3 linked regions of the Stegostoma tigrinum genome follow. The main gene of each other region encodes a partner of the protein of the gene in region 2 in a complex. Links are inferred from orthologs where the notes say so. Each region holds a gene or a part of one and is shown on either strand. Other genes may lie near its edges. The genes, in order: rev3l, pold2 and pold3.

The links.
Region 1: pold2 (region 2) and rev3l share a complex: the UniProt entries of both Homo sapiens proteins name them as parts of the tetrameric Pol-zeta complex. The link is inferred for Stegostoma tigrinum from reciprocal best matches to the Homo sapiens genes POLD2 and REV3L.
Region 3: pold2 (region 2) and pold3 share a complex: the UniProt entries of both Homo sapiens proteins name them as parts of the both the DNA polymerase delta and DNA polymerase zeta complex. The link is inferred for Stegostoma tigrinum from reciprocal best matches to the Homo sapiens genes POLD2 and POLD3.

The regions. Positions count from the first base shown.
Region 1 is NC_081357.1:23,897,202-23,907,442, reverse strand, and holds the start of rev3l (DNA polymerase zeta catalytic subunit), read right to left. Parts: upstream 4,400-10,241; 5' UTR 4,192-4,399; coding exon 3,828-4,191; intron 1-3,827. UniProt on the Homo sapiens protein: Catalytic subunit of the DNA polymerase zeta complex, an error-prone polymerase specialized in translesion DNA synthesis (TLS). Lacks an intrinsic 3'-5' exonuclease activity and thus has no proofreading function.
Region 2 is NC_081393.1:10,601,025-10,611,308, reverse strand, and holds the start of pold2 (DNA polymerase delta subunit 2), read right to left. Parts: upstream 4,200-10,284; 5' UTR 3,555-4,199; coding exon 3,329-3,554; intron 3,058-3,328; coding exon 2,936-3,057; intron 1-2,935. Other genes in the region: myl7 (myosin regulatory light chain 2, atrial isoform), read right to left, coding at 6,413-6,517, 7,791-7,839, 8,578-8,656, 9,268-9,372, 9,859-9,934. UniProt on the Homo sapiens protein: Accessory component of both the DNA polymerase delta complex and the DNA polymerase zeta complex.
Region 3 is NC_081359.1:111,413,932-111,423,736, forward strand, and holds the start of pold3 (DNA polymerase delta subunit 3), read right to left. Parts: upstream 4,405-9,805; 5' UTR 4,375-4,404; coding exon 4,294-4,374; intron 3,885-4,293; coding exon 3,829-3,884; intron 2,225-3,828; coding exon 2,122-2,224; intron 885-2,121; coding exon 845-884; intron 1-844. UniProt on the Homo sapiens protein: Accessory component of both the DNA polymerase delta complex and the DNA polymerase zeta complex.

The sequences.
Region 1 (10,241 bases), on a different chromosome or scaffold from region 2:
GAAGCCTTAAAATGTTAGCATATCATTTTTAGTTATGTCTGAAGCTGCTAATGCCATGCTCTCCTGCATTGCTCATCAAAGGAGGATTAATCACAATTGTTTAGTGGGGAATACACAAGACCACAAGCTTCCAGATTGAGACTGAATACAATTCTGCTGTTGATGACCCTGCATCTTGTAGTTGACCACACTGGAGCTGCTAGATCTGTTCTCAATCTATTCATTTTGATGGGTAGTAGCATCACACAACCTGACCGATGATATCTCCAGTATGAAGATACAACTTTGTGTTCACAGTGTAGTAGTAAATTCCTCCCAATACTGTCATGGACAGGAACATTATGTCAAGTAGACTGGTAATAGAGAAGTCAGATTCAGTTAAATCATAAGAATGTAAGAAATAGGAGAAGGAGTAGGCCATCTGGCCTCTTAAACCTCTCCGCCATTCAATAAGATCATGACAGATCTTTTTGTGGATTCCGCCTCACTCAGCAAGATAGCATCAATTGCTTCAGTGGGCAGGGAATCCCACAGATTCACAACCATTTAGGTGGAGAAGTCCCTCCTCAACTCAATTCTAAATCTGCTCCCCCTTATTTTGAGGCTATGCCCCTGAGTTCTAGTTTAACCTCCCAGTCTAAACAACATCCCTCCTTCTAGCTCATCTATTCCCTTCATAATTTTGTGTTTCTGAAAATGGCCCTTATTCTTCAAAATTCCAGTGAGCATAGTCCCAGTCTACTTCATCACTCCCAAGGCAACCATCTCAACTCTGGCGTCAACATTGTAAAGGGTAGGCAATGGCCTAGTGGTAATAATCACTGGATTGTTAATCCTGAGACATGGATAACATTGAGGACCCAGGTTCAAATCCCACCACAACAGATGGTGGAATTTGATTTAAGTACGATGTCTAGAATTAAGAATCTAATGACAATCGTGAAACCGTTCTCGATTGCAAGGAAAGCCCATCTGGTTCACTAATGTCCTTTAGGGAAGGAAACTGCCATCCTTACCAGATGTGGTCTGACGATCATGTGACTCCAGGCCCACAGCAATGTGATTGATTCTGAACTGCCCTCTGGGCAATTCGGGATGGACAATAAATGGTGCCTAGCCAGCAACAGCCTCATCCCATGAATGAATGAAAGGGAAAACAACCCTCCAGTGTCAGTACATGGCGATCAACATTAAAAGCAGCATTAGCTTCCTTTGGACATCTGTTGGCCGAGAAAAACAAAGTTGAAATACAGTAAGATACACCAACAAGGTGCATTCTTAGCTCACTTGCTGACAAAAATGTCATAAATTCTGAAGAAATACTACATTAATGGAAGGGAAAACATTGCAATTTGTATGTTAGGATTGAAAGTGGGAATTTCTAGTAACTTAGTTGACAGCTGCGTTAGGGTTAGGGTTAAAACGACATACCTTAAATATCAAGTGGGTGGTACTTACTATACCATAAATTTGGAAACTATAGCCTAACAAATAATAATAAAGCTCCGCTTCAAAAGGGGTAAAACAAAAGTGAATAGCTGAATGTGCAACAGGTTGATTCTGAATGAGTTGGTGATAATGTGATGCGGCTCTTCTCAGGGGACTCTTCTCTGTTCAGCTTTGGGTCGGAGATTTACTGGAAACCCAAAAGGTGAGAAAAAACAAAACAGATTCTGGTTTCTCCAGTGCTAGCAGCGACTCCCTCCCAACTGGGACCCAGTACACAACGGCAGACAGTTCCTGGGCCAGGCCCTGAAGTTGAGAGGTGGGGACCACTGCACTAACCACTGACAGATTTCATCACCAACTCTACTCTTTCTCACTGCCAATTATATCTGTCATCCTTTCCCCTCTCTTATTTCCGGCTAGTGGCCAGCGTTTCTACCTTTTGATTCGCTCTCCTCGCTGAGATCACAGCAACCAGACCACACTAGGAATTGCCAAAGTACAAGCACAATGCCAAGCCCTTGCCTACCGCCAGAAAATCTTACAGGTAAGCAGTAAGTGGATATGATCACAAGACAACACCAACTCAACTGTCATTCTGACAGTACATGAAATCAAAAATGGCGAAGCAAATCATAAAAACAGGCCCAAATTAGCAGGGTCTGGGCCCAAAACATCTGCCTTCCTGCTCCTCTGATGCTGCTTGGCCTGCCGTGTTCATCCTGCTCCACACCTTGTTAACTCAGATTCTCCAGCATCTGCAGTTCCTACTATCTGTTTACCTGTTGCACTCCTTTCAAGGATCTTTGGACATGTGCACCAAGATCCACCTGATCCACTGTACTTTGTGGTGTCCTACCTTTCATTGTGTACTTCCTTCCCTTGTTAGTTCTCACAAAATGCCCCATCTCCACTCTTCAGAGTTAAATTCCATTTGCCAGTGTTCTGCCTATAGGACCAGCCCATCCAAACAGTCCTGTACTAAAGCTTTCCTCCTTGCTATTTACCCTGACACTTGTGCTATGTGCAAACGTACCATTCAAACCTCTTAGATTAATGTCTAGATCATTAGTGCACACTAAAATGAAAAAGGAACCAGCACTGAATCCTATGATACGCTATCAGACCCAGGTAACACTCTGCCTCTTATCACTAAGTCAATCATAACCATGAAACAGTGATTGCTACCTCTAATTAAACTTCAGGTAAGGAACAAGGCAAACTATAAGACTAACTTGAAGATAATATTTTGCAGTAAACAAACTCTTCAGATCCACTGCACATTAAGCATGCAAAAATGCCTATATCAAAGCAAGGTGAAAATCTACAGCTGTCAAGAATTCTTCCCATCTTCAGCGCTTCTCTATTTAAAAGAAAACTGAATCACTGCACTTCATTAGAATCCGCAGGGCTTGAAAAAATCCGTCCTGATTTTAAAAAGGCAGAACACATTCTCACAACATGCAGGAAGAATTATCGCCTCAATTCCACAACAGAAGATATACGACCCATATTTACAACGGCAGACAAATTTGACAAGTGCAGTACAGCTTTGACCAGGAAAATGATATGCAAGATACCCTAAAGTAAACATGGCGACTAACGTCAACAATTACAGTATGCAAATAATATTATTTCAATACATGGAAGATAATGAGAATATGTATTTGTTTAAAAACCACACCTTTTGTGTTATTGGCGGTGGGGTGGCCATGGCTACCCTCTAGTTTTTTTTTAAATATATAATCCCTTGAGCTTCATAGTTAACTCAAAAGCAGCTTGTTCTGTTCTCGATACCGTAAAAGGTTCAACTAAACACAGGGAGCTGCATGGTGACCTGGGGCAAAAAGAGAGATTCCTCTTCACAATTAATGAAAAGATCTGCATATTTCCCCCCTCCTTCGCTGGATACAGTTCATTCAAACGATTTTCGCCTTCCTCGGACCGTTAAGTAGTTTCGAAATAAAGAGAAAGAAAATAAAACGCACAATCCCCAGCGAAAACACGAGAGCACAGCTAGGTCTGACAACATGAAGTCTCCCACACCGTGGGGTGCGTGGGTGGGGGTAGAAACACAAGGGTGGGAGGGTAACACCATTCAGAGGACAGTGCTGTGGGTGGTCGTGCACATTCTAAACTCACATGTAAATACGATTTTGTACGTGCACACGCAGTGAGACAGGCCGTTAGCAAATGTTCTAGCCCCCGGGAGGGTTAAAACAAAATGGCAAGCGAGACCACAGGCAGCTCCCAAACGACCAAACCACACACCCACGCCCCCACAAGAACACACCCACCCTGCCCCTCTGCAACAGCCCCGCAGTGGGGACGTTACTGCGGTGCTGTGGGCAACATTTTCACAACAACACAGGCCAGCTTACCTGCAGGTGTCGGCCCGAAGATACGAACCACGGGCACTCTGGTCACCTCGCTCTCTCGGAATTCCGAAAAGCAGACATCCAGACCCTTGATGGGGCTGGACATGTAGTAGTCAGCGGTGACAATCCTCACTGCAAACATCCTAAATACTTGGTGGGGGTGGGCAAAATAAATAAAGGAGCAGGGGGAAAATGCCCCAGTCCCTTTCAAAAAAAAGGCAGAGAGAGTCTGTAAGTGGAGGGGTTGGTGAGGGTCAGGCCGTACTGTAAGGTTTTTAATGGGGGGGGGTGGGTTTATTAGCAGGAGCAGGGAGGGAGGAGGGGGAGGCTGCGCGCCTGTGCACTGACTGTGCCCATCACGGTGCATCCATGGCCCCGGCCTCTCTCCCTCATCCTCCGGGCACAGCTTCCAGCCGCCTGCCCGGTGCCGCGCATCACCCCGGAGTGACTGACACGGCAGGCTTGTGTTGTTGTTGTTGTTGTTACTGCTGTTTACGGAGACGCCTCTTTCTGCCTGACAGCAAGCGCCGGCCTCTCCTCGAGCTGCACTGCAGCAACGGCTGCCACCGCCGCCGCCAGACCGGGAAGGAGGGGGGCGGGGTTCCGCCTGATCCCGCCTCCCGTACGCCCACCTTCCCCAATCCCCACTCTCCCATTGGCCTCAGTCCCGCCGCCCGCCCAGTTTCGCACACTGATTGGTCAGCGGCCGAGGCTCTGACAAGCGGTTGACATCTCGTCCGAGAGACCTCCCTCACCATTGGCTGGAGCTCTGCTACTTGCGTCACTGCCTTTCCGCCTGCGCCGATTGGTTTGTTCCACGCCCCCTTCGAGGGAGCGAGTTGATTGACACTGGGGTTCGACGTCGCTTTGCGTTGCAAGATGTAGATGTGGGCTAGCATAGGGCAGCACGCCGCAGTGCGATTTAGTTCGAGGCAACGGCCAGCTTTCCATTAAAAACTAGTGGTTGCATGATCCGGAGTTAGGTTCAGGAGGGTTGATTATCTCCATCGATGCATGGCTTCAATACCTCTGTCAGCTGATGTTACCATGATAGTCTCTCCTTCCCAACATGGCCCTTCACCTGTGATGTGATGACTCATAGGTTTCTCTAAGGAGTCTATCTAAAATAGAGTCAAAAGAAATGTACCACATGGAAATAGACCCTTTGGTCCAACTTGTCCCTGTTGACCGATATCCTAAATTTTTCAGCATTTCCCATTTGGCCCAGATCCCTCTAAATTCTTCCTATTCATATAGCTATCCAGATGCTTTTTAAATGCCATAATTAAACCAGCCTCCACTAATTCTTCTGGCACCTCGTTCCATATGTGCACCACTCTCGGTGTGAAAAAGTTGCCCATTAGATCCTTATAAATCTTTACTCTCTCACCTTAAACACATGCCCTCCAAGTTTGGACTCCCCTACCCAGGGGAAAAGGTTTTGACTTCACTCTATCCATGCCACTCATGATCTTATAAACCTCTAAAAGGTCATCACACAGCCTCCAATGCTCCAGGGAAAATAGTCCCAGTCTATTCAGCCTCTTCCTATAGCTCAAACCCTCCAACTCTGGCAACATTCTTGTCAAACTTTTCTAAACCCTTTCAAGTTTAACAACATCCTTCAGAATTGTATACAGTATTCCAAAAGTGGCCTAACCAATGTCCTGTACAGCTGCAACCTGACCTCCCAACTCCTGTACTGAATGCACTGACCACTAAAACCAAGTGTACTGAATACCTTCTTCACTACCCTGTCTCCCTGTGACTCTACTTTCAAGGATCTATACATCTGCACTCCAAGGTCTCTTTGTTCAACAACATTCCCCAGGACCTCGCCATTGATTATATTAGTCCTTCCCTGATTTGCCCTACCAAAATACAGCACCTCACATTTGTCTAGATTAAACTCCATTTGCCACTCCTCGGCCCATCTGATCAAGGTCCCCTTGTACTCTGAAGAAACCTTCTTCGCCGTCTATTACACTACCAATGGTGGCGTCATCTGCAAATTAACTAACCATGCTTCCTATTTTCACTCAAATCATTTATACAAATGACATAAAGCAGTGGACCTAGCAGCTATTAGTGCGGCACACTCTGGTCACAGGCCTCCAATCCGAAAAACATCCCTCCACCACCACACTTTAAGCCAACGTTGTATCCAAATGGCTGGTTCTCCCTCAATTCCATGTGATCTAACCTTATTAACCAGTCTACCATGCAAAATATTGTCAAGCGCCTTACTGAGGTCCATATACACAATGTTCTCAGGTCTGCCTTCATCAATCCTCTACGTCACTTCTTCAAAGAACTCAATCAAATTAGTGAGATACAATTTGCGACACTCAAAACCATGTTGACCATCCCTAATCAGCCCATGCCTTTTCAAAAACATGTGAATCCTGTCCCTCAGAATCCCCTCCAATAAACTGCCCACCACTGATGTCAGGCTCACCGGTCTGTAGTTCCCTGTCTTTTCCTTACTGTCTTTCTTAAATAATGGCACCACATTAGCCAACCTCCAGTCTTCCAGCAACTCTCCAGTGGCTATTGATGATACAAATATCTCAGCAAGAGCCCAGCAATCACTTTCCGAACTTCCCATAAAATTGTAGGGTACATTTGATCTGGTCCCAGGGATTTGCCTACCTTTATACATTTTCAGATGCCCAGCGCCTTGTCCTTTGTAACATGGACATTTTTGAAGATATCGTTATTTATTTCCCCATGCTCTCTGGCTTCCACATCCTTCTCCACAGTAAAACTGATGCAAAATGTTGATTTTGCATCTCACCCATCTCCTGCGGATCCACACATAATATCTAGAAACAAAAACAGAAATTACTGGAAAAACTCAGCAAGTCTAACAGCATCCATGATAAGAAATCGAAGTTAATGTTTTCAGGTCAGGTGACCCTTCTTCAGAAATTACATCTAGCCTTGAATGTATCCAATAATCCAGCCTCTCCTGCTTACTCCCAATTCCTCCATCTCTGGGCGCATCTGTTCCCAAGATGGAGCATTCCACTCCTGGACATCCCAAAAGTTCCCCTACTTCAAGGACTGCAACTTCTCCCCTCCAGTGATCAAAAGTGCCTACAACTGCATCTCTTGCATTTCTCGCATTTCTGCCCTCAAAAACCCATCCCCCTAACAAAAATAAGGACAGAATCCGAGATAACAAAGCGTGGAGCTGGATGAACACAGCAGGCCATGCATCATCATAGGAGCAGGAAGGCTGACATTTCGCGCCTAGACCCTCGGTCTTCACATACTACCCCTACTCTACATGCATGGCATCATCCTCCATCACTTCCGCCACCTGCAATCTGATCCCACAACCAAACAGATTTTTCCCTCCCCACCCCATCTGCCTTTCATAGGGACCGCTCTCACCGCAACTCCCTCGACTGCTCTGCCCTCCCCACCAACCCAACCATAGCCAGCTCCTTGCCCTGAAGCCATAGGAGGTGCTACACCTGCCCCTACACCACCCCTCTCACCTCTGTCCAAGGCCTTTCCCATTCCAGCAGGGATTCACCTGTACATCCTCCAACCTGGTTTAGAACATAGAACATAGAACATAGAAAAGTACAGCACAGTACAGGCCCTTCGGCCCACGATGTTGTGCCGTGGAATAACGCTAATCCAAAAATAAAATAACCTAACCTACTCTCATCTCAATTCACTGCTGTCCATGTGCATGTCCAGCAGTCGCTTAAATGTCACTAATGACTCCGCTTCCACGACTACCACTGGTAAACTATTCCATGCACTCACAACTCTCTGGGTGAAGAACCTCCCTCTGACATCTCCTCTATACCTTCCTCCTAACACCTTAAAACTATGAACCCTCATGGCAGTCAATCCTGCCCTGGGGAAAAGTGTCTGCGTATCGACTCTATCCATGCCTCTCATTACCTTGTACACCTCGATCAGGTCGCCTCTCTTTCTCCTTCTCTCCAGAGAGAAAAGTCCGAGCTCAGTCAACCTCTCCTCGTAAGACAAGCCCTCCAATCCAGACAGCATCCTGGCAAACCTCCTTTGCATCCTCTCCAAAGCCTCCACATCTTTCCTATAATAGTGCGACCAGAACTGGACACAATATTCCAAGTGTGGTCTCACCACGGTTTTGTAGAGCTGCAGCATAACCTCGCGGCTCTTAAACTCAATCCCCCTGTTAATGAAAGCCAAAACACCATATGCTTTCTTAACAACCTTATCCACCTGGGTGGCAACTTTGAGGGAGCTATGCACTTGAACACCAAGATCCCGCTGTTCCTCCACACTGCCAAGAATTCTGCTTTTAATCCTATATTCAGCATTTACGTTCGACCTTCCAAAATGCATCACTTCGCATTTATCCAGGTTGAACTCTATCTGCCATTTCTCAGCCCAGCTCTGCATTCTGTCAATGTCTCGCTGAAGCCTGCAATAGCCCTCGATACTATCAACGGCACCTCCAACCTTTGTGTCATCAGCAAACATACTAACCCACCCTTCAACCTCCTCATCCAAGTCATTTATAAAAACTACAAAAAGTAGAGGCCCAAGAGCAGAGCCCTGTGGGACACCACTCAACACTGACCTCCAGGCAGAATACTTACCATCTACAACCACTCTCTGCCTGCTGTCAGCCAAACAATTCTGAATGCAGACAGCCAAATCACCCTGTATCCCATACCTACTGACTTTATGAATGAGGCTGCTGTGGGGAACCTTATCAAATGCCTGTATCTGTTGCTCTTAATGTGGCGTCCTTTACATCAGCGAGACCAAGTGGAGGCTTGGTGACCAATTCACGGAGCATCTGCACTCTAACAACACCTTCCGGTTGCCAACCATTTTAGCTCCCCCTCCCATTCCTTGGGTGACATGCTCTTCCTGGCCCTTCTCCTTTGTCACAATGACGCCACACGCAAACTGGAGGAGCAATACCTCATGTTCCGCCTTGGGAGTCTACATCCCAATGGTGTCAACATAGAATTCACCACTTTTAAAATCTCCCCAACCCTGGCCTCACCCCATGTCCAACCCTCCCTCTCATCCCCACCTCCTTGATCTTATATTACCTGTCCATCTTCTTTCCCACCGATCCACCCCACCCATCCCACTGACCATTCTTTACTACCCGTTATATGCATCCACCTATCACCATCCCACCTACCTTCCCCCAGCCTCACCCGTCCTCCCTCTATTTATTTCCCAGGTCCCTTCCCCCTCCCCCCAGTCCAGATGAAGGATGTAAATCTGAAACATCGACTTTCCTGCTTCTCTGATGCTGCCTGACCTGCTGTGTTCATCAGCTTCACACTGTATTGATTCTGTCTGTCTATCTCTCTACTGCTTTCAAGTTGAATTGAATTTCATGGAATCCCTACACTGTAGAAAGAGGCCACTCAGCCTTTCAAGTCATCACTGACCCTCCGACGATTATCCCAACCCCATAATCCCACATTCACCATGGGTAATCCACCTAGTGTGCACACCTTTGAGCTGGAGGAGGAAACCAGAGCTGAAACCCATGCAGACACTGAAAGAATGTGCAAACCCGAGGTTAGATCTGTACCCAGGCCTTTGGAGCTATAAGGTAGCAGTACTAACCACTAACCAGTGCCACTGTGGTGTCCAGAAGCACCATTTCACATTATAATAAATCTCTGAAGGAGAATAAAATCTCCTCATCTCCATCCTAAATAGGAGGCAGACCTCTTATTCGCAAACCATGTGCTCTAGCTCTAAACTCTCTGAAAGTGGAAACATTCTCCTTGGTACTTTCCTATGCCCTACACCCCCTCCCAAGCATCATATATGTTTCACTGAAGCCACCTGTAATTCTGCTAAACAATTGCAGCTCTCATGTCTTCAGTCTTTCTTTATAAAATAAGCCCTTCATCCCAATAATAAGTTAAGTGAACCTTTTCTCAATTCTTACTGTGCAATTTTATTTTCTCTTTCAAAAAAGGAGACCAAAACTGCACATAGGTGCAGCACTGTACAGAATTACTGAATCAGAGAAATCTTACTGCACAGAAAAAGATGCTTCACCTATTGTATCTGTTCTGGCCAACAAATTAATTACCCAAAAAACAAAGTGTGGAGCTGGATGAACACAGCAGGCCAAGTGGCATCTCAGGAGCAAAAAAGCAGATGTTTCGGGCCTAGACCGTTCATCAAAAAAGGGGGATGGGGAGAGGCTTCTGAAATAAATAGGGAGAGATGGGTAGGCGGATCGAAGATGGATAGAGGAGAAGATAGGTGGAGAGGAGACAGACAGGTTAAAGGGGCGGGGGATAGACCCAGTAGAGATGAGTCTAGGTGGGGAGGTAGGGAAGGGATAGGTCAGTCTGGGGAGGTCGGACAGGTCAAGGGGGGGGGATGTGCTTAGAAGGTAGGAAATGGAGGTGCGGCTTG
Region 2 (10,284 bases):
TTTGCTATTCAGGTACTCATCCAAATGACTTTTAAATGTTGCAACGGCACCTGCTGCCACCGATACCTCTGGCAGCTCATTCCAGACAAATACCACCCTCTGCATGAAAAAGTTACCCTTAAAAAGGTCCTTTTAAAATCTTTTCCCTCTCACCTTCAACCTGCACCCATTAGTTTTGGATTCTCCTAACCTGGGAAAAAGACTTGTCGATTTACCTTATCCAAGGCCCTCAAGATTTTACAAACCTGTCAGGTCACCATACAGCCTCCAACACTCCAGGGAAAATAGCCTCTACTTGTTCAGTCTCTCCCTATAGATCAAACACTTCAATTCAGTCAACATCCTTGTAAAACTTTGCTGAAACGTTTCAAGTTTCGCATGTTTCCTTTAGCAGGGAGACCAGAATGGAATGTAGTATACCAAAGGTGGCCTAACCAATGTCCTGTACAGCTTGTGACATGACTTCCCAACTCCTGTACTCAATACACTGACCAATGAAGGCAAGTGTGTCAAATGCATTCTTCAGAACCCCGTCTATCTGCAACTCCATTTTCAAGGAACTATGCACCTGCATTCCTCAGTACTTCTGTTTGACAACACTCCCCAGGGACCTACCATTAACTGTCGAAGTCCTGATCGGTTTGCCTTACCAAAATGCAACATCTCATATTTACCTCAATTAAACTGCATCAGCCACCCCTCGGCTCATTGGCCCACCTGACCAAAGCCGCGTTGTAATGTGAGATCATCTTCTGCACGATCTTTTTTGTAATGTGCAAACTTAATCATCATTCCTCTAATAGTCACACCTAAATCATTTAGAAAAATGATGAAAAGCAGTGGACCCAGCACCAGTCTTGCAGCACACCACTTGTCACAGGCCTCCAGTCTGAAAAACAACCTTCCACCACCATGACCCTGTCTTGTACCTTCAAGCCAATTTTGTACCCTATTAGCTAACTCCCCTTGGATTCCATGTCATATAACCTTACTAACGACCTCACGGAACCCTGTTGAACGCCTTGCTGCCATCCAAATAGACAACGTCTACTGCTCCACCTTCAATCTTCTTTGTTACTTATTCAAATAAAAAACTCGAGAAAGCCAGTTGACTCTCCCTAATCAGTCCTTTCCTTTCCAAACGCATACAGTCCCAGCCCTCACAAGCCCTTCCAACAAGTTATTCACCACTCATATCAGATTCACCAGTCTATAGTTCCCTCACTTTTCCTTACCACTTCTGAAATAATGGTACCACGTTCGCCAACCTCCAGTCTTTGGAACCTCATCTGTAGCTTTCCGTAATACAAATATCTCAGCAGGGGGCCCAGCAATCATTTCCCAATTTTCCACAAAGCGCTGGGATACACCTCATCAGCCCCTGGGGTTTCTCCACTTTTATTCATTTCAAGATGTCCAGCACCCCCTCTTGTTATACAGGCACATTTCAAAATATCACTATTCCAAGTTATCAAGCTTCCATACCCTTCTCTATAGTAATCAATGACATGAAGTACTTGTTTTGTTTCTCGTCCATCTACTGTGGCTCCACACACAGATGGCCATAAAATTACATCTGGAATACAACATCTTACAATCGCCTTTAAATCAGAAAAAGTCAGAGTCTAGGCTATCTCTTTGATATATTTGAATGGAGTTTATTCCAGTCCATTTTATTGGTAAAACACAGAGCAGCGTATTTGTCCCTCATTTTCTCAAGATGAGTACTCCTGCTCTTGAATATAAAACTGAGGTCTGAGGGAATTTGGGGCATGAGGGAAACAGTAATGGGGAAGTTGAAAAGTCTGAAGGTCAATAAATCACCTGGAGCAGACAGTGCACTCCAGAGTTCTGAAGGAAATAGCTGAGGAGATTATAGGGGCACTGATGGTGATCTTTCAGGGATCGCCTGAGCACGGGAAGGTCCTGGAGGACTGGTGGATATACCAGTGGGGCAAAAGCAACTGAAGGATATAGGGGAAAAGCTATTGAGTCGGATGATTAGCCATGATGACAGGTTCAAAGGGCCAAACGGCTTACGTCTCTTCCTATTTTCTAACTCAAAGGACGAAGTCATAACAGGAGAGCTCCAAGCCCTAATTTGCTCCTACTGCTTCAGGAGGTCGGGCATGTTTCCGGTGCCCAAGGCCAGGATGAGTGCAGAAAGCGTTTCGATCAGTTGCTCCAGGAGGCCCCAGTTTCGGAACAGAGTGGCATGTGGAAACACGAACAGTGAAGTTCAGACTATTATGGACACCATGTACAAAGAGGTGGGCACACAGCAGGCTGAGATTCCACAAGCAGAAGAAAATGGATAACCACCAGACCACTTAAACTGACTAAGCAGAGTGCAAGAACCCCTGGAGCTCTTCCCCTGGAAAACAAACATACTGTGAAAAGTGGACATGAGAAAGGTCAGATCAGCCAAGGTGCCACTGAGTGGTCAACACACTGAAGGGGCTGAGCAATGTTACCCACAACTTTGGTTGGGTTCTTATTTCTTGCAGGTCATTAGTTGTTAAACAATTAAGTACACAAGTGCAGACCAAAGTTTAGTCGAGACCACTACTAGGTCAGCCATCATCTGAATGAATGACACACCACTCCAAACAAGTGCAATGGAATAACGATGCATCAGATTCCTGTACACTCTTAAAGGACCAATAGGGTGACACTTTTGCCAGAGTCCAGACCCTGACAATCAGCCCAGTGGGAGTTAGAGGTACACAAATTCTGTTTTGCTGAATTCTAATCTAGGATCCTTCGCCATGCAAAGAAATAAAGACATGGTTTGATGCTGATTAAAAATTTGAAGACATCAGTTTCTCTGGTCTTATCCTGACAGCTAAATAAAAGGGTGCTCAGCAGAGGTTAAGGTCGACAGTGCGTCCTCAAGAAGTTCAAAAGGAGATGGGTCCCAGGTTCGGCCTCCTACCTCCTCACTGATTTCCCGCAGAATAGATGGTTTCAACTCCATGTGCTTGAAGAGGGTGCCAACCGCACAACACTTCTCGCCCACCTGCAGCTCACACAGCTTCTTCACCGGCAGATCGGCTCCTGCGAAACACAACAGAATCAGTAACAAAAGCAGCAGTTGCTGGAAAAGCCAAGCAGATCCGGCAGCATGTGTGAACAGAAAATCAAGAGTTAACGGTGACCGTGGAGCCGCTTTGGAAAGCAGCAGATTCAACCCTGCAATAACATTAAGGCACGATACAGACGGAGTATTTCACTGCGGTTCAGGCGAACGCTGTTCCCTATTTACAACCCACCCGGGGCGGGGTTGTGTGTGTGTGTGTGTGTGTGTGTGAGAGAGAGGAGCACTCACCCCATTTCCTTCTGGCTCTCTCCTCCACCATCGGACGCATCTGCAGCAACCGAACGGCGTAGATGTGCGCGTACTGGCACTGGAAAGAGCGCTCTCCCAGCCTGAAGCTGCCGGAACGGTTCTCGTACGAGCCGGCCGTGACCCGGGGGAAAGTCGGGCCCGGCTGGGCCGGAAGCGGGGCCGACAACAGAGTCGGCTCCCTCAGGGCCGCCCGCTCAGAAAACATAGCGTGGATGAGTGGCTAGCAGGGAAGAAGAAATACGCCCCCACTCTCCCTTTCTGAGCCTTGGCAGACCCACCGGCGCCGTGAATTTTGTTGGACTTCTCTTCGATCCCCGCCGTTGTTTCGGCTCCTCGGGTTTAGCGCGGGGACGGTTTTCCGTTGGGAGATTCCCGCCAAGCGGCGCGCACGCGTGGGACTACCAACACGTAACGATCTGTCACCGCGCGCGGGGCGACGACAACAACGCAGACGCCATCTTATTGCGGGGCTTTTTTTTTTCAAAACCGCCATCTTACTGAGGGGCGATTTCATGTTTCGAAGGCGGCTGTTCCGCCTCCGTTTTTCACCCAAGGCCTGAAGATCGTTCTCCGTGTTCTCTCTCCGAACGATTCCGCTCACGCGGCTCGATTTTAAATTTTACGTCCGTTTTTTCGGGTACTCCCTCCCCGATTGTGCCATCTTAGACAGATCTCCAAGGAAATAGGTTTCGGACACGTTCCCAGTGCTCCTCCAGCACGAGCCCCGCCCAAACTTTTCTGGCACCATATTCTCTCTGACTGGCATCAGACCAACTTTTCGATCCAACTCTCGCCTGACGTATTCAGTGTAACATTTGAGATAACAAGGTGTACAGCTGGATTAACACAGCAGGCCAAGCAGCATCAGAGGAGCAGGAAAGATGATGTTTCGGGCCGAGACCCTTCTTCATCAAGTGTCTAGGCCCGAAATGTCAGCTTTCCTGCTCCTCTGATGCTGCTTGGCCTGCTGTGTTCATCCAGCTCTACAGCTTGTGTACTCTCTGGAGGCAGTCCACTGTCGTGGTTGGAACGGCAACAGGACTTCTCATCCCTGGATGTAGTGCAAGGCGTTTGTAATGTAATTTTAAAAATAAATTAGACAATTTTTAAGATGGAACAAGAACTGCTCCCCATTCCTACCGCAACAAGGAAATTAGTTCTGGCTCTTTGTGGATTGTGGCACACAGCTGCCACATTTAAAGTCTCCTGAGATGTAAATCTTCAATCAGCAATGACCAACAGCACTGTCAAATTGTCTTATAACCAGGATTTGCACCTCACAGTTGGACACTGCATGTATTTCACATGCATGACACAAAGATTACTGATGACTTTGGTGTGGACTATGAATTCAGCTTGATTCATGTAATTGCTCCTTGAAAGGCCTCCTTTCACTCACAGGTTGAGCCCACATGCTCAGAAAGAAAATAAGACACTTTGCCCACTCCTAGGATAGTTGCAGCTGTTTTCGATTTTCCTATGTGCATGGGAATGGAAGTCAACACAGGTCATGCTTGAGTCAGAGGCTCAGCCTGGCTGTTAAGGGTCCTCCCAACGAAGCAGTGTGCCTTTCTTTCGAGCATTCCCTATTGACTTCAGTACCAAGCTTCCAAATGTTCCCACACACCACTCTGAATGATGCATTCCTATCAACATGACCACTGATTCCTGGCCCAACAGCATAGTCGTGCCAAACATCATGCTGCACTGTACAGCTTTTCAACAGATGCAAACCGGAAGACAATTCTGTGATGATGCAACTTCAACCTCATGCTGAGGCAAGGGGAGTAAATTGACTGGGATTCAGGGGTGAATTTCAGTCCGGCCAGAAGTTGTCAAAGTGACCGACAGTTGATCTATTGGCTGGGAAGAAGTGAGACAGAACCTCGCATGTACATGAGATCTTGAAAAGACACAATTGGGTGTTATTCAAACAGATATTTCACTGAACATGACAGGCCATCATGGTGACACCCATCAATGTTCCATTGCTCCTGAAGTAATCCATGTCCTTAAACATTCCTCCTCATTAGATGTTGAGTTTCCCTCTCCCTTCACAGTTATTTTCCCTTCTTTTACTTTGAATTGCCAGAATTAAATACATCAGTTTCCCTCCAACATAAGTAGCCCCTGGTTAAATACACCCTTCACTTTGGGTGGACAGACCCCAGACTGACTATGACCACAGGAAATGAAGAATTCAAGTGCCAGACCACCCCCCCCCCCCACACACACACACCCTAACCCCTTCCCTCTCTCTCTCTCTCACACACACACACCCTAACCCCTTCCCTCTCTCTCTCTCTCTCTCTCTCTCACACACACACACACACACACACTCAAAATGACAACATTAACTTTATCAAAGACACTGAGTCAATTGATTTATTGTTGAATCTTTCCATAGAATCGCAGTGACACTACATATTTTAAAATGAAAATGGAGAAACAGCCTGAGGAGCCCAAAAGTGCAAACTTATTGCGAGTTGTTACCGAGGCAAGTTTGCCTGAGTATGATCAAGCTATTGGAAGAGAAGTAGATTTGCTTGGCCAATGATAGAGGGTGTTTATTCAGTCAGTCACTGAGTCACGTGGTACAGGAAGATCCCAGCTTTGCTACAGTCTGTGCCGAATACCATTCAATGTGCAAGGTTCTGGAGGGAAATGTCAGACTGGTTCCTGTCTCATTATTACAGCATGTCTCCCACTGAAGTGCGCATATGTGTGTAGCCAGGCTCGCCCCTCATATCCAGTCAGCATCCACAATCTCAGTAATCATGGTCAAAAACCCATAATCATTGAACCATAGGAGTGAGAAGCCAACAATTACACAACAAGAGACAAACGTGTCAAAATGGCATGTAATAACCAATTTAATAATGGCTGTGAGCTAGTACAAGAGTGAGCTTCACGATCTGATATGAGTAGTTGTGCTTAGCTGAACATTGAAGTATAAATTGCCTATTCTGAGTAGCCATGTTTTCTTTAGAGCTGATTCACAACGATCATTATCACTGATTTTTCACTGATGACTGCAGAAGCCAGACATCAACAACATTCAAACTAGGCCTCTTCTTTCTCATCTCCATGTGTGATGATATAACACAGTGATTTATAATCAATGTTTCCTGCAACATCAATGGGAGTCACAGCAAACATCTGTTCTACCTGTGGGGAGAAAAGGACAGGAATAGGGATTATTAAAGCAATGAGCACGCAACAGCAGGTCAGATGGCTGCCAGGGTCACACATATAGAGGAAACTAAATAATTTGTTTGGTTTTCAAATGTCTTTGCTACAATAAATTTCTTTTGATGATCATGAACAAACTACAGTTTCATAAAGTCCTAAACACTGTGCTTTCCAACGCTATTTTCCATATCCCTTTCAACTTCAGGAAATTCTTCATGCCTGACACCCCAGGCTTATTCAATTTTGGTTAGAGAAACACTAACTGAACAATTAGTCTTCACCATTTAGAGAACTAGCGATTCATAGCCCTGTTTCCTCATAATTAGATAACCACCCAGAGTCACAGAATGCTAACAGCACAGAAGGGAAATATTAGAAGCTCTTGTGGTGGAGGAGTTGTGTAACTATCTGTGAGCCAGGAGGGCCAGTTCAAGTGATAACATCTCTGACCAGGATGATTAGAAAATATCTAGACCAGGAATTAAATCTCGACTTTCTGGTCTGTGCAGCTGAGCACAATAATATTCAGAATGAGAATATTCAGTCCATTGCATTTGTGATAGCTCTCTGGATGAGCAAGTTTTACTTTGTGCCCCTCACTAGCCTCCTCTCAGAGCCTGGCACATTGTTTCATCTCGGATCACAATCTTATTGGCTTTGATTGATTGCATCTGCCTTGCTTGAATCTGCCTCCACCGTACTCTCAGGTGGTGCCTTCTGGATCCGAAACACCTGCTGCATGAAAACGTTTCTCCTCATGTCTTCATTGCTTCATTTACCAATTTGTACCCTGTGGTTCCGAATGTCTCCCCCAATGGGAACAGTTTTTCCGATCTACTCTGACAGATCCCTCGTGTTTTGTTATTCTCCCAATTACTTCTCCTCTCAACCGTCCACGTCCACTTGGGTAAGTGTCAGTCACCAGACAAAGAGGTTAATGCTGTTAAGTTGCTCAGGCAAAGAACAGAAGTAACTCAGAGTTAGTGGGACAGAGACCTTTACTCCATGAGGGAGCAATCATCTATGAGACAGCTATACTCAGTAAAAATTTGCATTCCACAAGTTGCTGCCCCACCTTGTGGGCAGTTAATTTTCCCTGGAACAATTCTTTTCCCTAAATAGTTTAGTTCCACCTCAAATACAACTGTGTGATGGGTTTGCTTCTTCCCAAAGTCTAATTGAGAATGCTTTTGAATATGAAATACCTCAAATGTTTTACATTGTTTACATTTAGACAGCAAAATCTCACCTCATCTGCACTGAATTTATCAGCTTGTGTCATCAGGAGTCTTTTAAATCTATGAAAGCAGAAAGAAAACATACCTAAAGTTAAGGAGCAAATTTTAATGGTATTGCCAAATTAGATGATAAATGGATTGAACCTAATGGTACAGAGTTATCTTCATTTAATCCATCATTAGTTCACTTGTATGAAATCTAATCAGCATTTTCTTTATTCTCCGTCAGTGATTTGAACAATGTTGCATGCAACTCAACAGCACTTTTCACATCTTCAGGATAATAGACCGTCTTGTGTGCTAGAATCTCTAAGGTCACCAATAAAGATCCTGGCTTTTCGTTTCCAAATTGTCTGAAATTAAATTGCTCAATTGGCAACTAGCAAAAGTCATGTCTTCGGATCATCCGCCCACGCCTTTAGATTACTCAAGCACTAATATAAAACTTTCTGCAGCCATACCCCAAAGCATTTTATTCTAAAGCACTGCACACACAGACTAGTGTAAATATGAAAAATACAGCATCTGTCTCTATGCGGGGTCAGTACTTCCAACTCAAGAGGTGTGAAAAAACTTGTAGAAGCAGGACATCTCAGAGCATTACTGTCAGAAAAGTAAGCAATTGGCTTAACTGATTTATGGACAAAATGTCAGTATGCAGCTCTGGTGCTAATCACATTATATTGAAAATTATGAAATTTACAGGATGAAGATGTCAGCTGAAATACTAAAAGTACATCCTCATGAAACATTTTCAGGTGCCATCTATCTCACTATTTAAATGACTTTGTAACTCACTCATCCTTCTTGACATGCCCTGTTCCTTGCGGATCAAACAGTTTGAAGGCGTTCACAATAGTTTCTTCTGGGTCAGTTCCTGTCGAGATAAAATAAGCTTCAAACCGATTGCTGTTGCTAGCACCGGCATTTGGGCTGGAATAGCTGAAATTATATGATGTGGCATTGAAAGTAGAAAGAAGGACTTGCATTTACACCCATAAGAGCATCTCAAAACACTTCACAGCCAAACATGTGTTTTTAAAACAGGGCAATAACTGTTCTGATACAGAAAATACAGCAGCCAATTTACACTCAGCAAGGTCCCACAAATTGTGTTTGAGTGATACTGGTTGGGATACAAATAACGGTGACATTGCAGGTGAGAACAACCCTGCGTTTCTTACAAGTAGTGCCATTTAGGTGCACTTGAGAGGGCACAGAGAGTTTCACTTGAACACTTGATTCAAAAGATCGCATCTCTGACAGTGAACGCTCCCAGTCCTGCATTGGAGTGCCAGCCTAGATTTTGTGCCCAACTACCTGAATGGGAATCAGATTCAACAACCTTCTGACTAGGAGCATCTTCCAAATATGGGTTCCATCTCCACTGTAGTATCAGACATGAAAGAATTTGAATTGAGATTCATCACATACCTAAATAAGATTATTGAATAATCAATTGCTGTCAGCATGCTGTCTTGTCCTTACCATTCAGTTTTTCTCCAAAGAGGCTGAGGAACACTGTAAAGTTCATTGGCCCCTTTCCCTCTTTCAACATCGCTTCCAATTCTTCATCATTGGTATTCAACTTACCTATAAATATTTTCAAACACATTAATATTCATATCATTTTCAAACAGCATTTCCATTTTTATTTGAACAAATGGCTCAGTGTCCTCTTGGAGCAAGTGGATTGGTCTGTGGGGTTAGAAACCAGGTAGCATCAGCCATGAAGTCCATGGACCAATTGCAGCACTTCTGCATCAAAACCCGTCTCTCCAGCCAGGAATATTGAATCCCTGACACCAGTCATCTCGGTAAACACTTTGAGACTGACATCACTGGTCAGGACTCCTCTGGTGCAATGATAGGGTGACTACCCATATCCCAGGAGATTTGGGTTCACGTCTTACCAGTTCCGGAGGTATGTCCCAATATCTCTGAACAATTTGATGAGAAAATATCATCATATCTTTTCATAAATGTGTAAAGATCACATAATGCCTGTAATACTTTGAAACCATTGGACAGCCAATAGCTGGAAATTAGTAGCAAGAACTGAAAGACCAGTTCACTTACCCAGCTGCATAAAGGTTTCCCTCAAGTCCTGTTTACTGATGATTCCATCACGGTTTTGATCAATGCAGCCGAAGGCCTGGGGACACATGACAGAGGTTTAGTCAGTAATTGCATTAGCATCATTTATCATGTGATCTTCACCATCCTGAGAATTTCCTTCACAATATCGACTTGCATGCCAAGATATCTGTCACTCCTGTGCTTGAATATGCCTCAAAAACTATTGCTATAGTAAGTACAGTGAATCCTTATCCTGCTGAACAAACACAAAGTCCAAACACTTCCACCTTGAATACCTTTTACTCTTGTAACACCCTGGTATCGCTTGCTCTGCTATTTACAAGAAACCATGGATCAGATTTTTAATTCCAAATCAATTATAAGTGGTGGATCTTTATGTCAACTCGGCAAGAAAGCCTCAAACTT
Region 3 (9,805 bases), on a different chromosome or scaffold from region 2:
GTCAAGTCTACTTCACATTCAACAAGATCATGACTCATCTGTTTGCTTAGAATTCCACATTCCCATCCAATCCTAAAGAACTGTCTGAAAAAAATTCAATAACTCCCCCACTGCTTTCTGAGTCAGAGTTTCACAACCTTCAGAAAAAAATTCTACTCCCAAGTTCTGTCCTGGAAGGATGAAGCCTAATTTTAAAATTGGCCCCTGGTTCTGAACTGACTCACGAAGGGAGACATGCTTTCCACTTCCACCTTTCAAGGCCATCAGGATCTTATGTATTTCAAACAAGTCACCCCTCTCCAACCAAACTAGTCTCATCAAACAACCCACTTACTGCAGTTATCAATCCAGTAAACCTCCTCTGAACCACCTTCAATTGTATCCTTCCTTGAATAAGGAGGCCAAAACAGCACACAGTACTTGAGATGTGGTCTCAAAACATTCTGTATAATTGAGGCAGAACATTGTCAATTTTATACTCAATTCCTCTCATCATGAAGGATAGCATTCCATTAGCCTTCTCGATTATGTGCTGTACCTGAAAACTTTGTGTAACTCCTAAGTCAGAACATCTATTTCCTTCTTTCAAACTGGCCAATGAGCAAAGGGCAGAATTGCCCAACGGGTTTCTCACCTCAAAATAGAACTATTTAGTTTCTCTGTTCTCCCGAGGGGGAGTTGATGTTTCTCATTTCAACACACGCAATTTGAGCACTGTGCCTGGTGCAGAAGGATCACAGTATCACAAAAGACAGATGCTGTTGTCTCCAAGAAACAATTGGTCAAAGCCTTGAGGGGCTTGCAGATGTGGATAACTGGGTTAAGTGTAGGTGTCTACTCTTACCTTCCAGCTGATCTTCTCTCACCACTGCTACCTTGTGACACTGGAATAAAGCAATATTGGAGTTAGTGGGTGATCAGCCAGCCAGTTAAACTCTCTATCCAAGGATAGACTACCAGGCCACATCTCAGCATCTCAAGCCCATACAACCAATTCTGCTTAAGAAAGCCTTTGTGATGATGTGATGCCAGTTGTAATCTTTGTCAGTGCTTATGTTGGAGGGTGCTGTTGTAACAGAGATCAGGAAGCAAGTCTCTCCCCAGCAAGCAGCATTGAGCCCAACTGTAGCAATCAAGTATGTCCTGGGTGAGATCAGCTAATTCAGTACAGATCAAGGCTGGAACCTGAGATTCTCTTACTGTATGTGACTGAGCGGCACACCAGAGATACATGCATCCCCGAAGCAAGCATGGGACCATATTTTAAAGAATGAGTAGAGTAATTAGGCTGATAAAGCTATAGATTATCATAAAAGGGGCTGAATAATTAGTTTAGTAATGAGAGGTGACCCCATTCAAATGTACAAGATCCTATGGGATTCTGACATTGAAAACTGAGAGGATATTTCAAATTGAGGGAAGAAAGTACTAGAATCTGGCAGCATCTGCGAGAGAGGAACAGAATTAATGTTTAGCGTGCAATGACTTTTCTTCAGAACCAATACTGCCAGATCTGCAGTTTCTTCAACACTTTGTTTAATTTCAGTTCTTCAATACTTTGCTTTTATTTCAAAATAAGGAACTTCTCATTTGAGGTGGATACATGAAACATTTCTTCTCTCAAAAGATAATTCGTCTTTGGAATTCTTTACGTCAGACAACAGTGGAGGCTGGATCATTGACTATATTCAGTGGTGAGTTAGGCAAATTTCAGACCAACAAGTAGTGTTAAGGTTAAGGGAGAGTGGTGGTGGTAGTCATGGTGGGGGAAATATGAAGGGGAGACATGCAGGAAAATGATGTTAAGGTTGTAATCATATCAATTGTCATCTTATTGAACGACTAAACTGCATTGACGGATCAATACTTTCCCCTTGCTCCTACTTCTGATAATCTAACTAAAGGATACATGGAGTGAGCAGAAAAGTGGGATTAGACTGGGAGCGGTCTTAAAGGATAGATGAGGTGAATGCGATTTGTTTGCGATGAAATCCACAAACTTGGTGGGCTATTTGCCCTTAGGCATTCCACAATAGAAAAGTGAGAGGATGTGAAAAAGTGGTCCTGACAATTCCTAATGTCGACTTTTCTGATGTCACTAATTGTTCCAAATAGACATACCGATATTCCATTTTCGACTGCTTTCCCTGACACGAGATACGTCACATGGAGCTGGGCTCCAGAATTTTCTTTCCGCTTTCGCTCCACGTAGTAATAAAGCATTCTGGGAAGCAGACAGAAGAGAAAATGACACAGTTAAAGGTACAAAACCTCTTGCAACAAAGCTAAACTGGTGAACAAGATCGGTCTCACAACCAGGCAGACAAACCTTGTTTTCAAAAGCAGTTGCTAAAAGATCCATACAAACTCCTTAATGGACCCTAGCAGAATCTCTCAGCAAAAGAGGGCTACTAAAGTTAGTAACAGGAAGATAGCCATGGGCAGCCAATACGTAGCAACAATTGAAATGGCACTAAATCTTGGGCGGCCGAGGAGTTAGCCCAGCTGCTCCACTGTGCCAGGAACCCTCAGGCAACTGTCTGTGTAGATTTTGCACATTCTCCCCATATCTGCATGCATGGCCTTCCTCTGGGTGATCCAGTTTCTTCCCAGAGTCCAAAGATGTGTGGGCTAGGTAGATTAGTCACGGGAAATACAGGGTTACAGGGATGAGGCAGGGGAATTGGGTATGGGTGGGTGTGAACTTGATGGGCCAATGGTCTACTTTCACACTGTAGGGATTCTATGAAACTCAAAATATCAGCTCCAGAATTCTCAATAACATCCATTTAAACTCGAGTGCATTTAAACTCGACTTTAACATAGAAAAACATTCCGGAGCATCTCACAACTATTAAATCTAAAACTTGGCACTCAGCCATGAAAGGAGACACAGATGAACAGAGACTTGGTAAACAGGGAGGTCATGTGGAATAGAAACTGAAAGTGCTGGAAAACCTCAGCGGGTCTTGAAGCATCAAGACAGGCTGGGATTATATTTACTGGCATTTTCTCACAGAAATCTATAAAATTATAAGCGGATTGGACTGGGAAAATGCTGGGAACTGGGAAGGATTTCCCAATGAGGAAAATGTCCAAAACCAGCAGTGGCAATCTAAGGATATGGGGACTGAGTTGAGGAGAAACTTCTACACCCAGAGATTGGTGAGTCTGTGGAATTCTCTGACACGGAAGTCAGTTGAGGCCAAAACATTAAATGCTTTCAAGAACGAAATTAGATATAGTTCTCAGGACTAAAGGGATCAAAGGGTACACAGGCAAAGTAGGAACAGCGTACTAAAACAGATGGTCAGCAATGATTATACCTAGTAGCCAAATAGCCTATGCCTGCTCTTATAATATTATCTTACCTTCTATTATACAAGACCACAATATAAATGCAAGCTTTTTCTTACAAATGATATTCAAATATTAGAAAATTTAACGTCAGATTTTACAAGTGTGACACACATCCTTCAAACTGTGACACATATGTCCACAACATGCATACCATTCCAATTTATGTCAGATGAAAAGAAAGAACTACGGTTGACCTATTATCTGATCTGTTCCTACCTGAGGCTATCAAGACCTATTGCAACATGTTTTACAACAATAAGGATGCCAGATAGCAAAATGCTAATGAAGCACACACAACTGTTATACCCACAATCTCTTCACATTTGGCCCATTCCCTCCACTCCTCACCGCAGATGTGGGTGACACAGGGATCCCTCTCCAGGAAATCTGACTGTGAGAAGTGGTTCTGTTGCATACTATTTGATGGTGGAATGTGACGCAAGGTGTCTCACAAATCATTGAACTTACTGTTTTGCCTGGTTGACATGAATGCCCAGGAACTGGCTCAGCATCTTGTAGGTGACCTGAAAAACAAAATCCAACTAGAAAAACAGGTACAGCAGCAAGACAAGAAATTACATTTCAAATGGGGTGTATATCCATTCCGTACCAAGGACATATGTTCCTATTACTCCAACATATTTCCCTGCAACTGCTCTCTTTAGTATATATTCAACCCCACATTGGGGGAATATCCCCCATCTGCGGTGTATATTCCCCGCCGCACCAACACCATTCCCCCCATGTATTCCCTCACACTTCCAACCCCCAATCCTGGGCATACATTCTCCCATTCATGTACCCACCCACCCCGGGTATATATATTCCCCCTTACACGCCCCCCCCGGCATCCCGGACGCGCGCGCGCGCACACATATTCCGGGTGTGTATTCGGACCCCGTCCCTCTCTCCCGGGTGTATAATCCCTCACACCCTGCCCCCGCTCACGATCCGGTTCTCATCCGCCACCAGCTCCTCGATATTCTCCAACAGCAGCTCAAGCTCCTCCATCATCGCGGCCGAAGCGGGAAAGCGAGGAGGGGTGAGAGGTCACGGGGCGGGGTCTACGGCGGGCGGAGCCTGCGCGTGCGGGGCGGTGGAAACCTCGGGGTCAAGGGTCATCGGCTGGCAGGAGCCTGTTTCCCCGGCAACCAGGCCGGTCGCCCGGACCCCTGAAAAGAAATCACCGTACAATAAAATCATTGTTTTTTTTTTACTGAAGGGCGTTTCATGGGGATTGCAAAACATGAACCAACGAGGGGGCAAATGAGTATAAAGTATTTTACTGCCGAAGGATTGCGGTGGGGTTAAAGGTTACAAAGATGGCGACGCTGCAGGTTTGAGCTGGTGACATTCATCTGAATTGGTAAGGAATGTTTGAATTTTCAAAACTCGGTTCAAGCTCAATTTATTTAAGAGCCTATGAAATTAGAATGCATTGCGGTATAAAGGATCCCCGTTTTCCGATGAAGGGTCTAGGCCCGAAACGTCAGCTTTTGTGCTCCTGAGATGCTGCTTGGCCTGCTGTGTTCATCCAGCCTCACATTTTGTTGTTGAATTTCACTATCTGCCTGAAGGTTTTGTGATGATTAGAAACCCAGTACAGAGTCTCACTGTTTATAAACTTGTAATAGTCAATGTTGGGTCACATCGATAGATGGGAGAGGTTGGGACTGTTTTCCTTGAAGCAGATCAGGTCAGAGGAGATTTGATTGAGGTGTTCGAACTGATGAGAGGTGCCGACTAACTTTCCTTTGAACACTGCCCAGAACCTCTCCCATAGATCGTCAGGCTGTTGCATGATTTCTGCTTTTGGAAGCCCCTGAAGATAACCGACCTCCGACGTCCGTGCAGAAGGAGGGGAGGAAAAGAAAATAAAAACAACTTTGGTCTGTATGGAGTAGGTAGGAGTTCCCACAGGTGAAAAGACCAAGAACACGAGTACAAAGATTTAACAGAATTGGCTATAGAAGAAACCGAGGCGTGAGGGGAAAAACGCATCCTCCCAAAGCAAGGGATTAAGATCTGGAATATACTGCCTGAAAATGTCGTGAGGATAGGTTTTAATGGTAATTGGATAATCTGAAAAAAGAAACATTTGCAGAGCTACAGGAAAAAGCAGGGTAGTAGCACTAGCCAAAATGCTTCTGAAGAGAGCTAGCATGGTATTTTGTGATCAGAGATAATGGGAACTGCAGATGTTGGAGAATCCAAGATAACAAAGCGTGAAGCTGGATGAACACAGCAGCTTGGCCTGCTGCATTCATCCAGCTTCACACTTTGTTATCTCAGAATGGTACTTTACTATGCTGTGACCATTCTTTGATTTTGAAATATCCCAAGGTGGTCCCCAAGTGGTGATGAAACAAAAAATATCAAAGAACTGTGGATGTTGGAAATTGGGCACAAAATTGCTGGAAAAAGTCAGTATGTTGGGCATCATATATGCAGAGAAAACAGGATTAATATTTCCAGTCCAGTGGCACTTTTACCCCAAGTAGCGATAAAACAAAATTTAATAAAGTCACAGAGATAGATGTATAGCAGGAAACCAATCCTTTAGTCCAACTTGTTCGTACCAATCAGACATCCTAAATTCATCTAGTCCCATTTGCTAGTATTTGGTCTGTATCCCTCTTAAACCCTTCCTATTCCTACACCCATCCAGATGCTTTTCATATGTTAGAAATCACACAATACCAGGTTATAGTTCAACAGGTTTGTTTGAAACCATAAGCTTTTGCAGCACTGCTCCTTCATCAGGGCTTTACCTGACAAAGGGGCAGCAGTCGGAAAGCTTGTAATTTCAGATAAACCTGTTGGACTATAACCTGGTGTTTTGTGATTTCTGACTTTGTCCACCCCAGTCCAACACATGCCACATCATGGTTTTTAAATGTTGCAATTGTACCAGCCTCCTCCACTTCCTCTGACAATTCATTCCATGCACTCCCCACCCTCTGTATGAAAGAAGTTGATCCTTGGGTCTGTTTTAAATCTTTCCCCTCTAACCTTAAATCTATGCCCTGGAGAAAAGACCTTGACTATTCACCTTGTCCGTGGTCGTTCTGACCTTCTATCTGGTCACCCATCAGCCTTTGCCAGGGAAAATATCCCTAGCCAATTGAACCTTTCGATAAAGCTCAAATCCTCAAATGTAGCAACATGCTTGTAAATCTTTTCTGAACCCTTTCAAGTTTCACAACATCTTTCTGATAGGAAGAACAGAATATGACCTCCCAACTCCAAAATTTAATGTGCTAACCAACAAGGGAGACTTGGGCCAGGTGACACAATGGCATTGATGTGATTTTCCTGAGGTTCATACTGAGTCCCCTTAGGTTGTATGTCCAATGTAATGTGTTTGGGTCATGAATTGCTCCTCCACTTAAGTAACAATGTTCGATGGAGAGTGCAGGAGGGCTCCAAGCAGCATCACTGAGCAAATCTTAAAATGAGGTGAAAACCTGATGAAGCTATAACGCAGGACTATTTGTGTGCCAAATGACAAGTATTAGGCAGCACTAGGATTACACAACTAACCGATCAGAACTAAGGGTCTGAAGACTCTGGATTCGGGCATCAGCAGTCCTTATTGTCTCCAGGTCAGAACTAAACTTTGCAATCCTGCCAAATCCAGTTGTGAACAGTAATGGTCAGTAAGTGAATCATTGGAGGAAAAGGCTTCAGAAATATCCCATCATCAAGGATGAGGAGCCTAGCACATCATTTCAAAAGACAAGGCTGAAATATTTGCATCCATCTTCAATCCAAAGGGCTGAATAGATGATCCATCTCAGCCTGTGAAGGTTCCCTATTTTCAATCAATTTGATTCACTTCACTTCATGATTTTAAGAAACAGTTGAAGTTAATGGATAGTGCAAAGTCAATGGGTCCTGGCAACGTTCCAGCAAAGGTCATGAACAGTTGTGCTCCAAAATTTGAAAAGCTACAAATTTACTGAGCCAAGTGTTCTATTGTAGCCACAACATTGGCGTCTACCCAAAAATGTGGCAGATTTTCTAGGAGTGCAGGTTACTATTCCATGAAAATTGAGTTGCAGTTAGATAGATGGGGTAATGAATGTATTTGGTATGCTTACATTTATTGGTCGATGCACTGAGTATAGGAGTTGGAAGATCATGTTGCAGACATACAGGATGTTGGTAAGGCCACTATTGGAATGCTACATGCAATTCTGTTCTCCCTGCTTTAGGAAGAATGTTGTGAAACTTGAAAGGGTTCAGAAAAGATTTACAAGGATGCTGCCAGGGTTGGACGGCTTGAGCTATAGGGTAGGGCTGAATAGACTGGGGCTGCTTTGCCTGGAGCGTCGCAAGCTGAGAGATAACCTTATGGAGGTTTATAAAATTGAGGGGCATGGATAGGATAAATAGACAAGGCCTTTAACCTGGAGTGGGGAAGCCAAAACTAGAAGGCATATGTTTAAGTGAGAGGGGAAAGATTTAAAAGGACTTAAGGGGCAACTTTTTCACAGTGCATGTTTGGAATGATCTGGCAAAGAAAGTGGTGGAGGCTGGTACAGTTACAACATTGAAAAAGCATCTGGAAGGGTTGAGAGGGACATAGACCAAATGCTGGCAAATAGGACTAGATTTATTTAGGATATCTAGTCAGCATAGATGAGTTGGACCATTGGGTTTCTGTGCTATACAACTCGATGACTAACTCTATGAATCTGAAGTATTTTCTGTGCACCAAAAAACAGTACAAATGTATAAGACCGTAAGATATAGGAGTGGAAGTAAGGCCATTCGGCCCATCAAATCCACTCTGCCATTTAAATCATGGCTGATGGGCATTTCAATGGAACGGAAACAACTTCCTAACGTCCACCCCTTCTAAGCCATACATTATCTTGTAAGTTTCTATTAGATCTTCCCTCAACCTTCTAAACTCTAATGAGTACAATCCCAGGATCCTTAGCCGTTCATCATACGCTAAACCTACCATTCCAGGGATCATCCGTGTGAATCTCTGCTGGACACACTCCAGGGCTAGTATGTCCTTCCTGAGGTGTGGGGCCCAAAATTGGACACAGTATTCTAAATGGGGCCTAACTAGAGCTTTATCAAGCCTCAGAAGCCCATCGCTGCTTTTATATTCCAACCCTCTTGAGATAAACGACAACATTACATTCGCTTTCTTAATTACGGACTCTACCTGCAAGTTAACCTTTAGAGAATCCTGGACCAACACTCCCAGATCCCTTTGTACTTTTGCTTTACGAATTTTCTCACCATTTAGAAAATAGTCCATGCCTGTATTCTTTTTTCCAAAATGCAAAACCTCACATTTACTCACATTGAATTTCATCAGCCATTTCCTGGACCACGTTCCTAAACTGTCTAAATCTTTCTGCAGCTTCCCCACCTCCTCAGTACTTGGCTAATTCCCACCCCATCAGTCTGCTCACAATCATCAACAAAGTGATGGAACAGTATCATTTGTTACCACAAACAAGGTCATTCTTGCAGAACCAAGGTCACTATCTTCCTGATAATAAAATGTGAGGCTGGATGAACACAGCAGGCCAAGCAGCATCTCAGGAGCACAAAAGCTGACGTTTCAGGCCTAGATCCTTCATCAGAGAGGGGGATGGGGTGAGGGGTCTGGAATAAATAGGGAGAGAGGGGAAGGCGGACTGATGATGGAGACAAAAGAAGATAGGTAGAGAGGAGAGTATAGGTGGGGAGGTAGGGAGGGGATAGGTCAGTCCAGGGAAGACGGACAGGTCAAGGAGGTGGGATGAGGTTAGTAGGTAGGAGACGGAGGTGTGGCTTGGGGTGGGAGGAAGGGATGGGTGAGAGGAAGAACAGGTTAGGGAGGCAGAGACAGGCTGGGCTGGTTTTGGGATGCAGTGGGGGGAGGGGACGAACTGGGCTGGTTTTGGGATGTGGTGGGGGACGGGGAGATTTTGAAGCATGTTTGTTAGTGAGCAAAGGGACTTGGGAGTCCTAGCTCAGAAATATTTTGCAGTCAGGAAGGCAAATGCCATGTTAGCATTCATTTCAAGAGGGCTAGAATAAAGAGCAGAGACGATCTGCTGAGGCTGTATAAGATTGTGATTGGACCGCAGTTGGAAAATTGTGAGCTGTTTTGTCCCTGTATGTGAGGAACGATGTGTTAGTGTTGGAGGGGATCCAGAGAAGGTTTTTATAAGAAAATTACAGCACAGTACAGGCCCTTCGGCCCTCAATGTTGTGCCGACCTGTCATACTGATCTCAAGCCCATCTAACGTACACTATTCCAAGTACGTCCATATGCTTGTCCAATGATGGCTTAAATGTACTTCAAGTTGGCAAATCTACTACCGTTGCCGGCAAAGTGTTCCATTCCCTTACTACTCTGAGGAAAGAAACTACCTCTGACATCTGTCCTATATCTTTCACCTCTCAATTTAAAGCTATGCCCCCTCGTGC